Linked DNA regions of Diceros bicornis minor. The main gene of each other region encodes a partner of the protein of the gene in region 2 in a complex. Links are inferred from orthologs where the notes say so. Each region holds a gene or a part of one and is shown on either strand. Other genes may lie near its edges.

Region 1 (7,338 bases), on a different chromosome or scaffold from region 2:
ATGTGACAGCGTTCCTGGCCCTCAGTTTCCTCATCTGTAAAATGGGGACGAACCTAGTTGCCTTGTGGGACTGTTTCGAGTTCCGTGCCTTACAGTGACAAGACTACGTCACCTGGACCCGTGAGGTTTTCCTGTCATTACTAGGATAGCAGCCACGCCCATGTCCATGGTTGGTCCCCACCGAGGTGCAGCTGTGGGCCATGCAGCAGCTCTGTACTTCCCAACAGTGAACTCTCCCTTTCTCAGCGTATCCCCTGTCCCCAGTGACTTCCACCACCTGACCTGAAGGCATGCTTCCAGGAGATCAGAGGCCACTGCCCTGGCTGATGACACTCAGAAGCACAAATTCCACCTCATCAGGAAGCTTTGTAGATCAGCAATGGGCAAACAAGTGACTTGCAGAGGGCTTGGACAGCTCCTGGAAAAGGGCTTACCTAAGCTGCCGGGCAAACAGACAGACATCGGCCTGGACCCCCAGACCCATGGGAGAAGCTTTGCCCGGGCAGGGGTTGGGGCCAGCAGTCGGGTCTCACATTCTCTCTGACCACAGCTGACCCTACCTGCGTACATGTTCGGGGTCTAACCTGCTGCTAGCATTGGTGGCAGACCCGTATCACTTCAGGTGGCCTCCTCCAGCGACCCCCTCCCCTGCTCTGAATGTCCCAGCCTCCTGATTCCCCCTCCCCCGAGAGGCCAAGGAAGGGCCTTGGCTGCGCTGGTGGGGTTGGGCAGGGTGGTGTATCCAGGAGTGGCTCAGCGGGGCAGGAGTGGGCTCCATGACCCACCCCCCATCCTGGGCCCCGATACTGGTCTATGTGCCCCAGTGCAGTGGGCGCCTCTCTGTGCCTCTCTGTTGTCATGTGGGCACCATAATAATCATCTCTCTGAACATCCTCAAGATTAGAAAATGGGAAACAGGCCCTGAAACAGCATCAGCACCAAAGAAATGGAAGCTATGAACTGAGATACATGCGTCCCCAAACGCTCCCAGTATTTACGAAGGTTCCAAAGAGGAACTCAGGTGGTGCTCAGACATGTTTTCACGAGTGCTAATTTGTCCCCAAAGTTATAGATTTCTGCTCAGTGCCTGCACAGAAGGCCATCTGTTCTGTTGTGTAACCTATACTTCATCAACGCTGAAGGAGGTGAAGAGAGAGGGAGAGACTTCCTGGAACTGGGGGTGGGGCGGGGGGTGTCCTTTGCGACAGTTTCTCCCATGCTGGGTGAGTGACCAGGTCTTCACAGCAAACAGGAACCCAGGGTCCCCCCCCGGGGCAGCATGTATGGAGCCATTTCTGGCCAGGATACTCCCAAGAGAAAAGTCCTGTACGTCCTTCCACTTTCTACCTGTGGGGCCTGGCTGGTGCTTTTGTTCGTGACAACTTTCAACACACGCATGAAAAACAAGTTTTCTCTCCCTAAAACCTCGGGATCCCCAACAACATCATTTCTCTCTGTCTTCTGGGTGTACACACTACTCTGTTGAACTCTACACAGCTTCCTTTGTCCTCGTTCAAAACAACTTTTCCAGGGTCTCTCCAACTGCCTGGTTGAACTAGGTTTATGGCAGACCATCACAGTGCCTCTGGGAAAAGAAGCCAACACACCTGCATTTGGACTCTTGGTCCTTGACAGCCTGGGCTCTGGAGTATATCAGGTGATGTCTTTGAGTCTGGATGTCCTCACGAGGACATGAGCCCATACGGGCAGCCGCTGGGCAGCTTCCTTTGCTGCTACATCCATGACACCCAGCACAGTATGGCCTCTAGCCACATAAATAAATAATACTGTTGCCTGCCCAACCTACAGATATCCAGGATATAATGCACAGGGATCGCTTCCTAAGCTCTGGAACCTAATACAAATATTGGCTATTGCTAGGATGTGCAATAAAAGTTGGACTTGGTGTGCAAGTGGGAAAGTTGTGTGGGTGTGTGCAGGGTGGGGCAAAGTTCACCCAGGTATGCAGTGAACCAACAAGTGTGAGTTTATAAGACATCTGTGAAAGGGACAGGTTCCGCCTGGTCTCCAGTGTCTGTGCGTAATCCAGGCATTTGTTGGAACTGTGCTTCCTGCCCGGAGTAGGTCTTCCTGGGCTCTGGTCGCTACAAATAGAACAGTGGCAGGAGCAGGGAGGGCAGGGAGGAGGGCTGGCATAGCACACATTTCGTTCCCAAAGGAGGGGCGTCCTGATGCGCTGGCACACGGGGTTTTGTGCATTCCACGCGGGGAGCTCGGGCATCGCCGCGCAAACAAAGCCGCTTTGCAGCTCCCCCCACGCCCCCCTTGCTCCTCGCTATTGGCTGTCGGGCCGCGACCTCCCCCTGCGCTGGCAGAGGCCCAGCGCCTTGGCTGGGCACAAAGTCAGCCCCTCACCCCCGAGGCACCGAGGGAGGGGACACGGCTCTTTGGCAGCTGGCCGTGGGATGGGGAGCGGGTGGTCGGAGTCAGCAGCGCCTCCCCCCGCCCGTCCCCGTTGCCCTTCACCCTTCCCGTTCCCCCGCCCGCCGCACCCGCCCCGGCACCTTCGCCACCTGTTGACACTGGGTCCTCCCAGCTCGCGTTCCCTTTCTCCTTCTTTGGCACCCTGGGGTCCCGGGGTCCGGTCCTTCCATGCCCGCCCCCCATTCCTCACCCCGCGCACCCCGGAGATCGAGGGCACCCGCGCCTGGCCCCCGTCTAGGCCAGTTCATCGTACAGACCGGCAGAGCCGGGCTCCCGGAGCGAGGAAGGGCCTCGCCAGCGTGGCCAGGGCGCTGGGCGTGAACCTCCACCCGTCCCGCAGCCTGGCGCCCGCCTCCGCCTGGCCTTCAGCCCCTCCCGGTGGGCCATGCCGGCGCCGTACCAGCCCGCCCGGTGACCTTGGCAGTCCCTCCGCCTCCCTGGCCTCAGTTTCCCCACTGCTGCAGCTGCCGTGGGGCACGAGGTGGGAGCCACCCACGGCGGCCCTGTGGCCGCCGCGGCCCCGCCCCGGCCCCGCGGGGAGCCAATCGGGCGCCGCCGTCCGGGGGGGTGTGTCCCGCCCGGGGCCGCGGCTGGAGGCCCGGGGGCGGGACGGGAGGCCCGGGGGCGGGGCTTCCGGGCCGCCCACCCGCGCTAGCCGCCCGCGCTGCCGGGTCGCGCGGGGGGGCAAGGGGCGGCGCGTGCCGCGGGGGCGCGGCTGGCACGGGCGCGGGGAGGCGGCGCCGGGCATGGGCAGGGGACGCGGCGGCCCCACGGCGGGGGCAGTGGGCGGCGTGGGCGGAGGCGGCCGCTAGCGCCCTGCCCGGCGCCGCCTCCCTCGGCGCGCTCGCCCGGCGGACCGGCAGGCGGCGGACCGCGGCCCCAGGTGCCCAGGGGCGGCCGGGCGGGCGGGCACGCGCGCGGGGGTCCGCGGGCCGGGCCTCCCCTACCCGGGGACCCGGGGCGGCGGCGGCGGAGAGGCCGGGGCCAGGCGGCGCATGCGCGGGGCTCGGGGCTGGGGCGGCCGCCGCGGGCTTGTGCGGGGGATCCCCGGGCCCAGGGGCCCCTCGGGCCGAGCGCCGGAGGCCTACGCGGAGCCCCGGCGTCCGCGGCTGTCGGTGGGGCTGGGCTGCGCGGCGGCGAGGCCGGGGACCTCGGAGACACTGGGTCCTCAAGTTGTCGCGTGGGAGGGATGGCCCACCAGGCGGGGGCATCGGGCGCGCCCTTCCCTCGGTGCGGTCGAGTTTGGGCGTCAGCGACTGGGGGGCGTTTCCCGAGACCCCCGGGGATCCCCGAGGCTAGGTAGCCCGAGGCCGGGACAGGCGCGACCCCGGGGGCCGTGCGCCCGCGGCTGCGGTCCGGCGGGAGAAGCTCACGCGGGTTAGTTCCCCGGCCGCGGGGCGCCTTTGAGGAACTGCGCCGCTTCGCGCCCGAGCGCAGTCGGGCGACCCAGTGGGGCCGGGCCGGGCGAGCCCAGCAGGCTCCAGCGCGCGCCCTGCGCCGCCCCGAGGGGCCAGGGTGGTGCTGGCGGACGTCCCGAGGGTCGGTTCTGCCCCCCTCCGCCCACCCCGGACTAACAGAAGACAACTGCCCTCCTGTGCTTTCCTCGCCTTTTTAAGTTTAAAGAAGGGACGGCGTGCCCCAAATGTCAAGGTTCTTTCTAAGAAAAGCCTGTAGTTGTAGAATGTCTTGGGTTTCGCGGGGCGCTCTGGGACCTTCGGGGCTGCACGACCCTCTCAACCCAGCCACCCTGCGCTCCCAGGGCTGCTTGGGAAGGGGTGCGCGGGGAATGGGGAGGGGAGGCGGGGCACAGGGTGTTCCTGGGAACGGCCCTGCCACCCCCTCGCCGTTGAATAAGCCCGGTCACGGTGACTTTCCTCTTCCAAGGTGGTGGAGAGTTGGGGAGAATCCAGAGGACATATCGCAATCATTTCCTCCTTTACCTTCTCGCTGCCAAGGCCGCCCGCCGTGACAGGTCCTCCCGCCCCTGTGCAGGAACAGTTTGTGGCACCGCAAGCGCAGACCCGAGACGTTGTCATCACAGGTAAAATAGAAGGTTTGATTTACTCGTGTTTCCAGACCGAAGTCTTTAAGTGTTTACTTCCGTTGCCCTACAGACTCGCAATTTGGGGGTTAATTATTCCTTTGTGATGCAGCCTTAGATATATTTTCAGTGCTTTAAAAGGAAGATAAATGTGGATAGATTCCCCTTTAAGTTCTGAAAAGTTTAGTGTGTCAGTTTCGCTAGCAACTGCATTTCTTCATGGCAGGCTGGTTCCATGTAATCGAAAACTACATATAACTGTGAGAACTCTTTACTACTTAGACAGTGAAGTTACACAGGCTGACAAGTGAAGAACGGCATGCGGGCCTCTTAGCTGTCGTAATTGTAATCTGAATATCAAGCAGATGGCTTGCTGGGATAGTAGGTCAGGTCTAGAACTATCATCAGCTAGGACACGGACAGCGTGGAGAAGTGGGCGGATGGTGCAGATTTGAGAGGTCACTGTCCATGAGGGGCCGGGCAGTGAGCCTGACAAAATTCTGTACAACTTTGAAGGAAAGGCAAATTAATTGACAGTAGAAAAAAAATTCTCTCTCTCTTTTCTCACATCTTAGACATATAATAAGAGTCATTCCATAATCATAAAATTGTTTTTTTTTTGCTAGCTCATGTTTGTCAGGCTTGTGAACAGATTTTTAAACATTGTGTGTGTGTGTGAGAGAGAGAGAGGAGAAAAAAAAAACATTTCTATATAACCTATTTTGTAACCTACTTTATTGACTATTAGGTTATGAAAAGTCTTTCCATGTGAATGAATGTGTTTGTGCTTCATCATCTTAAATGTCTATATAATATTTTGTGGTGTTTAGATACAATAATTATTTAGCCAATTCCTTTATATGTGTGTGTGTGTGTGTGTGTGTGTGTGTGTATTTAATCATTCATTCTATAAATGGTTATTGAGTAGCTGCTGTGGGCTCTTGTGCTCAGTATTGAGCAAGGCAGCTGTGGATCTGCTCATGAAGCTGATTTTTATATCAGAATGTAAAAGAGAAACTTAAAGATTATCCTCATCATCTTAAAAGACACACTGGAGTGTGGAGAGGGAACTGTTTTTGCCATAGCACCTTTCTGTTTAGTGATTGGTAACAGTGCTTTTTTTCTTGCATGCTATCTATGAGCATCTGTGTTTTTGTAATAAATATTCTTTAGGTAATCTTTTAAAAAATTTTTATTAAAATGTTTCTTTGCTTAATGTGAACAGATTTTAAATATGTCAGATTCTCCTCTCTTTTCCTCTCTCACGGTCTCTGTGTGTGAATGGAAATAGTCTTAGTGGCACATAGGTTGAGTGTCAGCTTCCAAGTGGCTGGCATTTTTGTTGAACAATTGTAGTAATTTTGTCACGTGGCAGTTGGAGGATGTGGCCTGTAGAATTTCTGCCTTTTTGGAATTTGAGGGCCTCTGTTTGCATTTCTGTTTTTGGTGGCTTGGTATAGTGTCAGTCTTTTAAATATTTCATAAACATTTCAAGAAAAAGGCATAGTTTCTGTTTGTAGGATAGACATTTGCTGTATCTGTTATTTCTGCCTTGTTGACTACCTAGAACAAGCCAGCTCACCGCTAAGGCCATGTGCTTAGGGAAAATTGGGCAAAGAATGTTAATTTCCACCTTGGTGTTAAGATAGTTTTAAGGCAAGAACCAAATAGGAAAAGTCCTAGATGTCCCATGGGACCTATTTAAAAGAACTTGTTTCTTCTTCCCAGGATTTCTGTTGCTGGCATGTAGTGAGCTGCTTAGGGAAATGGACACATGGTGCAAATTTTCCGGCCTGTTCTGTAGCAGACATAACTAGTCTGATTTGCTCATTATCTGGAGGTATGTTTGTTCTTTGTTTCTAGAGTGTTTAATTACTTAGCATCTTGTAGTGGTGACATTGTGGTGTCTAAAAAGTGAAGAATTTACTCCTCACTGGGTCAGCCCTGTTGTAGCTGTTTGTGGTTGAGCTGCATTTGTGTTGAGATCAGCATATATACAAGAAAAAACATTTGAAAATTTTGGTTTGCGTCAGGGAAGCGGCTTGTTATAGTGGAAAAGGCGTTAGGCCATTAATCATGAGATTTGGATTCTCGTCCTGTAGCTGCTGCCTGACAGGCCTGGGGATTTTGTCCACCTCTCTAAACTGCTGTTTTCTCATCAGAAAACGGAGTTCCTTTTCATTCTACCTCTGAAGGGTTGGAAGGCTCAAAGGGGTGGCTTACGTGAAGATTCCTTTTTTTTTTTTTGCAGGGGAAGATTTGCCCTAAGCTAACATGTTTTGCCAATCTTCCTCCTTTTTTCTTCTTTTGCCCCCCAAAGCCCCAGTACACAGTTGTAAGTTTGGGTTCTTCTATGTGAGCCACCACCACAGCATGGCTACTGACAGGCGAGTAGTGTAGTTCCACGCCTGGGAACCGAACCTGGACTGCAGAAGTGGAGCACGCCGACCTTTGGCTGCTAGGTGATCAGGGCTGGCTCCATGAAGATTCTTTATAAAATGCAAAAAACCATATGCAGCCCAGGAGGTGTCTCTCAGAGGAGGAAGCCACGCCCTGAACTGCCTGCACCTCTCACTCAGCCACACCTGACCCCTGTCTTATTTTTGCTCTGACCATTTTACGATTTTCAAAGGCTTTCAGAAAGAAACACACCTCCCCTCCATACACAAAAAAAATTTTCTTTTTCTTTTTGAATAGGTAAACAAGAATTCTACACCAGTAACAACAAAATATGTGTGGTTCGTGCTTTCTCTGAACATCGACATGCCCTCAGGTTTTGGTGGTGATACATTTTGCATTGTCCTTACTCGGGTATAGCTAGACCATGCAAAGGGCTATTCCTGATCCTTGGG
Region 2 (7,470 bases):
TCTCCTACACAGACGTCCTCCCTCTGTCTAATCCTGGATTAGCCACCAAAGACAACAAAAGTCTTTTGCATAAAGACAATCAATTATCTTTTCATTCACTTTTCCCACCCTTTCCAAAGGGAGAGATGGAGGAGGGGAGGGTCAGTGAGGGTCTAGGGGAGGAGAGGGAGTTGCAGGAACAACCAGACATCTCACATGCAAACAGTGCTCACCCCCACCATCTGGCCATTGGCTTCTCTTGCGAGCGCCACCAGCCCCATTTGACAGATGGAGGAAAGGAGGCTCAGAGAGTTAAAATGGCTTGCTCCAGGGTCACCCAGCCAGAAAGTGGGGAAGGCGACTCCACTCAGGCCTTCTGACTCCAAGTCCAGTGCTATTTCGAGGTAACACACAGGACCTGGAGTCAGGAGGCCTGGGTGGCTCTGTCACTCGCTGGCTGCGTGGTCCTGCACAAGCCGCTCACCCCTCACAGCCTCTATCCCCAACTGGAAAATGAGGAGGCACAGGATGGCCTGCCCAGGTCCTCTTCCGGCTGGGCTCTATGAGCCTTTTAGGGGTGGTTGCAAAGCTCCCCCTATCAATTACATTTCCCAAGTTGGGCCGGCAAAGATCACCAGAAGATCCCCAGCCTGTCACGTGGTTACATAAAAAAAGCAAACGTCCCAGATTAACTTTCACTGCACTGCTTCTGCTGACACCTGATTACCCAATTTTCTAGTTTCCTTGGGTGAAATATCCCTGCTGGGTAGGCCCGCTGGGCGCCTAAAAGGGAAAATAATTAATTATTGGTGAGCCGAAGAACCCTGAAGATGGAGTTAAAACCTGGGGTTGGGTCCAGAACGGGCAGTTCTTGCTATGAGTTCCTGAACAAATCTCTGGCTATTTCAGGCCTTCTTCACCCGCATCTTAGTCGAGAGGGCTGGAGACACCCCCAGACAAGTGCGAAGGCTGAGGACAGAACTTTCCCAGGGGCAACTCTGCCCCGCCGGCTCCAAGTCCCCCTAGCCCCAGGCTGTTGGCTGGGGCGGGGGACGGGGGGCATCGACCTTCCGCACAGACACGGGCGCGGGACGTGTGACGGCGCCCGGTGACCGCCGCGGGAGCTACACTGCAGTTTCGTCAGAGGTAAAGGTACGCGCCCGGCGCGCGCGGCGTGTGCACAGAAACACACACACCCGCGCGCGCAGACCGCTCATCACACACTCCCTCCGGCCTTGAGAAGCGCGATCACACGCCACCAGCCCCATCGACCCCTGCCCCGAACCCACCCGAGCGCGCCCGCCACCGACCACGAGGCCCCGCGGCTCCCTGACGCATGGACGTCTGCAGCGAGCGAGGGCCGGCCTTCTCCGGCGCGTGGCGGGCTTCCTCTCGGCGACACCCCGCCACGCCGCGCCGTCCTAGCCGCCAGCCGGGAGTCGCCACCCGGAGTCCGCCCGGAGCTGAACGTTTCAGCTGCTGCGTCCGCTCCAAGTCGCGTCTCACAGCAAGGAGTCAGCTTGCAAACCTCTCCCCGCCCACCCGGTCCCATGACAGCTGCTGCCGCCCAAAGACAGGCAGATTATAACAAGAAGCAAAGTTTCTCTCTCTCTCCTCCCTCCCTACCACCCCCCCGCCTTTCCCCTCCCTTCCAGTGTTATGCAAAACGAGCCGGCACGGGCGCTCCGACTCCAGGTACCAAACCAGCCCTCGCGAGCCGCGCCCGGTTCCGCCCGGCGGCCCCTCTCCGCTCCCAGGCGTGCGCCCGCATCCGGGGTCTCATTCTCGGCTCCACCGCATCCCCAGCCTCCCGGCTACCCGCAGCCGCGCGCCCGGAGAAAAAAACCATAACTATGGGGCCAAACTTTATGCTTGCAACAGGCATGAGGTGGGGGAAACCGGGGAAGGGGTGGGGGGCGCGCACGCCTTGTGCAGGCATTTTCGGTGGCTGCTTGTCCCAGCAGCACCCCCCCACACCCGTCTCCAAGCCACCAGCTTCCTCGCCACTACCCCCCCCCCCCGCACACCAGAACACCCTCTCCTGTCACGCGCGTGTCGCCTGTGGGGCTCCCAGGCGCAGCCAGAGCCCGGGACGCCGCCTCGCCTTCCCTTCCCCCAGCATCTCCGAGCGCGCACCGGGGCCGCGCGCCACAGGGGGACCCAGGCGCCCCCAGACAGTCCTTCCGCCCCCATCCTGCCGTGCTTTTCCCCCAAGAGGCTCCGCCGCGTAGCGAAACCAGGAAGGTGCTATCCCCGCTCGCATGTCCACGTGCCTCGCAGACCCCTATGCCCTTAGCAGGCAACCGGCAGGAAACTCTGCGCTGCGGGCGCCGAAGGGGAGCCGCGGGGGGCCAGCAGCAGCACTCGGGGGACCGGAGACGAGAGGACCAGGGGACTCCGGGGACCGGGGCAGGCGCCTGTGTCGGGGCCACAAGTCCACGTGAAAGTACGGCAGCAAGTGCTGGGAGCCTGAGGGCGCGCCTCCAGCACCCAGAGCCAGCCTGAGGGTCCCCCACACGTTGGCGCGGCTCCACCTCCCCAAGGAAGTGCGGTACCCCCCAGCTCTGTCGGCGGGGGTTGGGGGGCGGACTCCAAACGACCAAGGCTAGACCCTCCCCAGCGGCCGTAGCGCCAACGCTCCGGCATGCGCGGGGGGACCTCCAGCTCCCCGCCCCCGGAACGGAGCGCATCGCAGAGCGCATGGAAGAGGGGCTCTGCAGCCTGGAACCCCCGGTCCCCCCACTGCGCCCACTGCTGCCTCCCGGCCTCCGCGGCTGCGACGGCAGCCCCCGCAGCTCAGCACCTCTGGCCCCGCGCCCGCGGCCCCTACTGGCCATACCTGGGTGTCGGCGAGATAGTTGAGGAAGAAGGAGGAGAGCTCCTCGTCCAGCAGCGCGCCGCAGTCGTTCCCCGCCATCTTCCAGCCGCGGCTGCAGCGTGCGGCGGAGTCAGCGCCGAGCCGGCCGCGGGGGAGGGAGCCAGCGAGCGAGCGAGGGAGGCGGGAGGAGGGAGCGAGGCCGGCGGGAGGCAGAGGGCGGAGCTCAGGCTCCGGCTGCCGCAGGGCCGGCGGCTGCGGGGCGGGGCCGCGCGGTGCCCGCGCTAGCCGGGGGTCGCGCCCCCACCTTCCTGCGCAACGTCTGGCGCCGCGATCCTCGCTCGCAGCTTCCAGCCGGGAGGAAAGCTCCCGCAGCCGGATGATGGTGCCCCAGCCAGCAGCCCGATGCCTGCGCAGCAATGCGGGCAGCCCCTCGCTCCTGCCAGAGCGAATCACGTTGCGTTAGCGCTGGGCGGGTCCTTCGAGACAACCTGCTTCTGCACAGCTGGGGAAACTGAGGCCCGGGAAGGTAAAAGGACCTCTTTTGAAGCCGCAGTGCACTTCAATAGCAGGAAGACAAAGCCCAAGTCTGACTGCCCCAGAGGCTTGAGTGTCTCTACCCAGACTGCCGTATGTCAAGAGTGGAGAAATCAGGGAAGGCTCCTTGGAGGGGGTGACGTTTTTACCTTTTCCTTGAAAGATGCGTTGACCCATAGTCTAAGTTTGACCCTCTCTCTCTCCCGTCTCCCCTCACTTCCCTCCCCCGCCAAAAAAAACACACAAAAAAACTGTCAATGACTTCTCTTACCATGGCCTACAATGCCTTGAAGTGGCCAAGCTCCTGGCGGCTTCCTCTGGCCCACTGGCCTTCTCCCAGTTCCTCAGATGAACCATCTCACAAAGGGCCTCTATACACGGAGTGCTGTCTCCTGGCCAGTAGCCATTCACCTAGTAACCACATCTTTAGGACATCCTTCCCCTCCGCCCCTCAGATTGTCAAGCCATTCCCTCTCCCCCCACCCCTACCATCATGGGCTCTGTTAGCTCCGCAGGCCTTTGCTTTAAAACGCTGGTCACACTGGGGCTGGCCCGGTGGCCTAATGGTTAGTTTGGTGTGCTCTGCTTCAGCGGCCCAGGTTCAGTTCCCAGGCTCGGACCTACACCACTCATCAGCGGCCATGCTGTGGTGGCGATCCACAAACAAAATAGAGGAAGATTGGCACAGATGTTAGCTCAGGGCGAATCTTCCTCAGCGAAAAAAATAAAATACAATGCTGGTCACAGTTGCCATTTTACATTTGTTTCAGTGAAGATTTGATCTTTGTGTCTTTCCTTACTAGACTCTAAGGCCCATGAAAGCAGGACCTGAATCTGCTTTTGCACTTGCTATGTCTCCAGTGCCTGGCACATAGTAGGTGTTTAATAAATAATGTGTTAACTGAAAAACCCAGAGGATTTTGATCCCCACCGCCACCATCGCACGTTGTATAAATAAGGAAACTACCCAGAGTGGAGGGTGCACATGGAGTGAGTGCTCTCCTTCTGGAGAGCCAGAACGGGAACTCAGGCCTCCTGACTCCAACCTTGAACTCGCATCATAGTGCCCTGCTGTTTGCCAGGCAGGAGATGAGGGCGCCGCCTGGATTAAGGCAGGAAGATTTAGGCGCATTTATTGGGCATGCCTGCCTCCTGCCCTCCTCCCACCCTGCACTCACAAGGGCGGCCCCACCCTGCCCGCCCTGCATGGGCTCCCTCCCTGTAGAGGAGGAAACAGGGAGAGTCCCCGGGACAGTACACCTGCTCAGACTTGAACACCAGAGCACGCGCTTCCTTCTTCTCCAGTCTGAGGTTCCCAGAACTGCACGGCAGGATTTCACTTTTTGGGCCGTAGGCGTGCTTTTAAGGAACAATGAATTCTAACAGAGAGCCTACATCTAGCCTTGGAGCACTAGCCTGGGAGTCAGGAGTCCTGGGTTCTGGTCCAGCCCTGCCACATCTTGTTCCAGTGTTGGGCAACTCGGGAAGTTCAGAGCCTGGGCCCTCTGGTTAGACTGCTTGGTTTTGAACCCCCGCAGGTCATTTAGTCTCAGGCCTCAGCTTCCTCATCTCCACAAATGGAGATCATAGAATGACTTACTTCATAGGGATGTTATGATGATATGATGATTGAGGAGACAATATATGGAAAGTGCTTGGCGTGATGCCTGGCCTCGTGGGGAAAATGCTAAACTCTGATGCTCTGTTTCCACATCTGTAAAAATGAGGATAAAATACATATCCCTTGAAGGCACTGGCCAGTGTTACTTTCGTTTCTTCTGGCACTTTTAGGCTGCCGGCTAGCATGTACTCCGACAGATCTGGACTTGAGTCCTGGCTCTCACTAGCTGTGTGCCCTTGGTCATTCACCTAAGCTCTCTGAGCCTCAGTTTCCTCCACGTAGGGATCTGGTGAAGATGGAGTGAAACAATGCATGTAAGTGAATGGCTTGGCCCTGCGCCTGGCAGAGAGGAAGTGCTCATCCTCTGCCTCATCATCATCACCACCATCTCCAACATCGTCACCATTAGCACTAAAGACCTGAGCTCCCCGATGGCCCCACTTTTCTGCTGCTGCCCATGGACACCAGAGGCAGAGCCCTGTGGGACAGTTTCCAGAGGTGTCCCTGCCAGATCCATCCTGGCCTCTGAGTGGTGATGTGCCCCTTAGAGCCTAGAGGCCAGACTTGGAGAGTCCCCAAGGCCAGCCATCTCTGGCTGTGGCCTTGCAGAGCTTCAGTACCAGACAGGGTCTCCCAGGGAAGGCCTCAACAGTGCTCGCCCAAAGGCTTTTGTCTTTAAAACTCTGGTGTTGATAGAAAAGCCTCAAATTGCCCAGCTTCGGGGACTTTCTCACTGGTCACTGTGTCCTCAGAGGGGCTTCTGGCTGGCAAGAAACTAGGGTGAGAAGGCACCTCCCCTGAGATACCTAGCTTCCTTTTCAGAAGCATCTTATCCCAAGACTTCCTCCATCACAGATCACCACTAGAGTCAGCCTCATCACTCTCTCTGGTCCACAGAGGAACTGGAAGTTCTCCACTGAGATTAGAAGCCCTCAAGAAACGTAAGGTGCTGGATGATCTTGTGCAATCGTGCAATTTGCTTCCCTCTCTGAGGCTGTTTCCCTGCCTGTAAAATGAAAGGGCTAGGGGACCGGCCCCGTGGCTTGGCGGTTAAGTGCTCGCGCTCCGCTGCTGGCGGCCCGGGGTTCGGATCCCGGACGCGCACCGACGCACCGATTCTCCGGCCATGCTGAGGCTGCGTCCCACATACAGCAACTAGAAGGATGTGCAACTATGGCATACAACTATCTAGTGGGGCTTTGGGGAAAAAAAGGAGGAGGATTGGCAATAGATGTTAGCTCAGAGCCGGTCTTCCTCAGCAAAAAAAAAAAAAATAAAGGGGAGGATTAGCATGGATGTTAGCTCAGGGCTGATCTCCCTCACAAAAAAATAAAAGAAAAAAATGAAAGGGCTGGGCTAAACGCACCTCTCCTGAACACTCCAGTCCAGATATGATGGCACTTTATAGGTATTAGCCAAAGCTTGGCAGCTTTTCTGTACTGAGCATGTGCCAGACACATGAGTTCATAGCATCCTGAGTGGTCAGCATTGTGATGTCCATTTTATGACTGAGGAAGCCAAAGCTTAAAAAGGGTGATTAGCCCAAGACCAAGCAGTTAGAGGTACAGCTGAGATTTGAACCCAGGTCTGTGCACAGTCCAAGCCACAGACCCTTGAAAGGGATTGAGAAAAACCTCACACCAGCAACCAGGAAGCTAGAATGGTGGCACATTTCTTATTTTATGACTTTCAAGTGGAGGGCAATAATAATGCTGAACTTGGACTTCATGTGATTGACTCCTATCTTCTCTGCCTTTCTATTGGCCTCACCTCTCTCAAGATTAATGAAAGTTTGCCCTGCACATACCCTGGGCAAAGCCCAGACTCCCCCAGGCTCCACGGAAATGGCTACAGCAAAATGAATTTATTTAACTTGAATATTTTAGTCACTACCAACAAATGCTCAAAAGTAAAAACATCAGCATTTTCTCTCCTCCGTTAATAGGAAGATGCTTTATTCAGACACTACAGCCATGGTTCTCAAACTCTGGAGGGTGTGTGGTCACCTGGGCCCTGTCACCAGAGATTACAATTCAGTTGGGCTGCAGTGGGCCTAGGAATCTGCATTTAATAGGCTCTCCTAGATGACTCTGCTGCAGGAAACCACCCATCATTCAACAGATGTTTAATGAGCACCTACTCTGTGCCAGCCACAGGCACCACTGTGCTAGGTGCCTTGGATTAATCAGTGAACACAACAGCTGCCATCCCTGCCCACATTCTATTCAACACCACTGCTTAGTAAGTTTTTGTTGAATGAGTGAACGAGATAGGACATGGGTCCTGATAATGAGTGAGGTTTCCTGCCAGCCACCCACAACTCTGTGATTCTATGGTCCAGGCCAGGGAGCCAGACACACACCTATTTCCCAGCTTCTGTCCGGGAGGCAGGGACTCAAGCCAAGAGGAACTAAAAAGTCACCTGCTTTGTATTGTTAACTCTGAAAGCCATCCCCACCTTCCACTGAACGATAGAACTTTAGAACTGTGGAAGGGCAGTGGCGATTATGTTCTTCAC

The links.
Region 1: the proteins of PPARGC1B (region 2) and PPARA are in contact, whole or in part, in a crystal structure (PDB 3SP6), measured with the Homo sapiens proteins. The link is inferred for Diceros bicornis minor from reciprocal best matches to the Homo sapiens genes PPARGC1B and PPARA. Residues at the interface, in NP_573570.3 of Homo sapiens: Ser154, Leu155, Leu156, Gln157, Leu159, Leu160, Leu161, Thr163; in NP_001001928.1 of Homo sapiens: Val284, Thr285, Thr288, Glu289, Lys292, Phe297, Leu302, Asn303, Gln305, Val306, Leu309, Pro458, Leu459, Glu462, Ile463.

What each region holds. Positions count from the first base shown.
Region 1 is NC_080764.1:4,342,010-4,349,347, reverse strand, and holds the start of PPARA (peroxisome proliferator-activated receptor alpha), read left to right. Parts: upstream 1-4,308; 5' UTR 4,309-4,486; intron 4,487-7,338. UniProt on the Homo sapiens protein: Ligand-activated transcription factor. Key regulator of lipid metabolism. Activated by the endogenous ligand 1-palmitoyl-2-oleoyl-sn-glycerol-3-phosphocholine (16:0/18:1-GPC). Activated by oleylethanolamide, a naturally occurring lipid that regulates satiety.
Region 2 is NC_080740.1:66,821,744-66,829,213, reverse strand, and holds the start of PPARGC1B (peroxisome proliferator-activated receptor gamma coactivator 1-beta), read right to left. Parts: upstream 3,040-7,470; 5' UTR 2,897-3,039; coding exon 2,819-2,896; intron 1-2,818. UniProt on the Homo sapiens protein: Plays a role of stimulator of transcription factors and nuclear receptors activities. Activates transcriptional activity of estrogen receptor alpha, nuclear respiratory factor 1 (NRF1) and glucocorticoid receptor in the presence of glucocorticoids.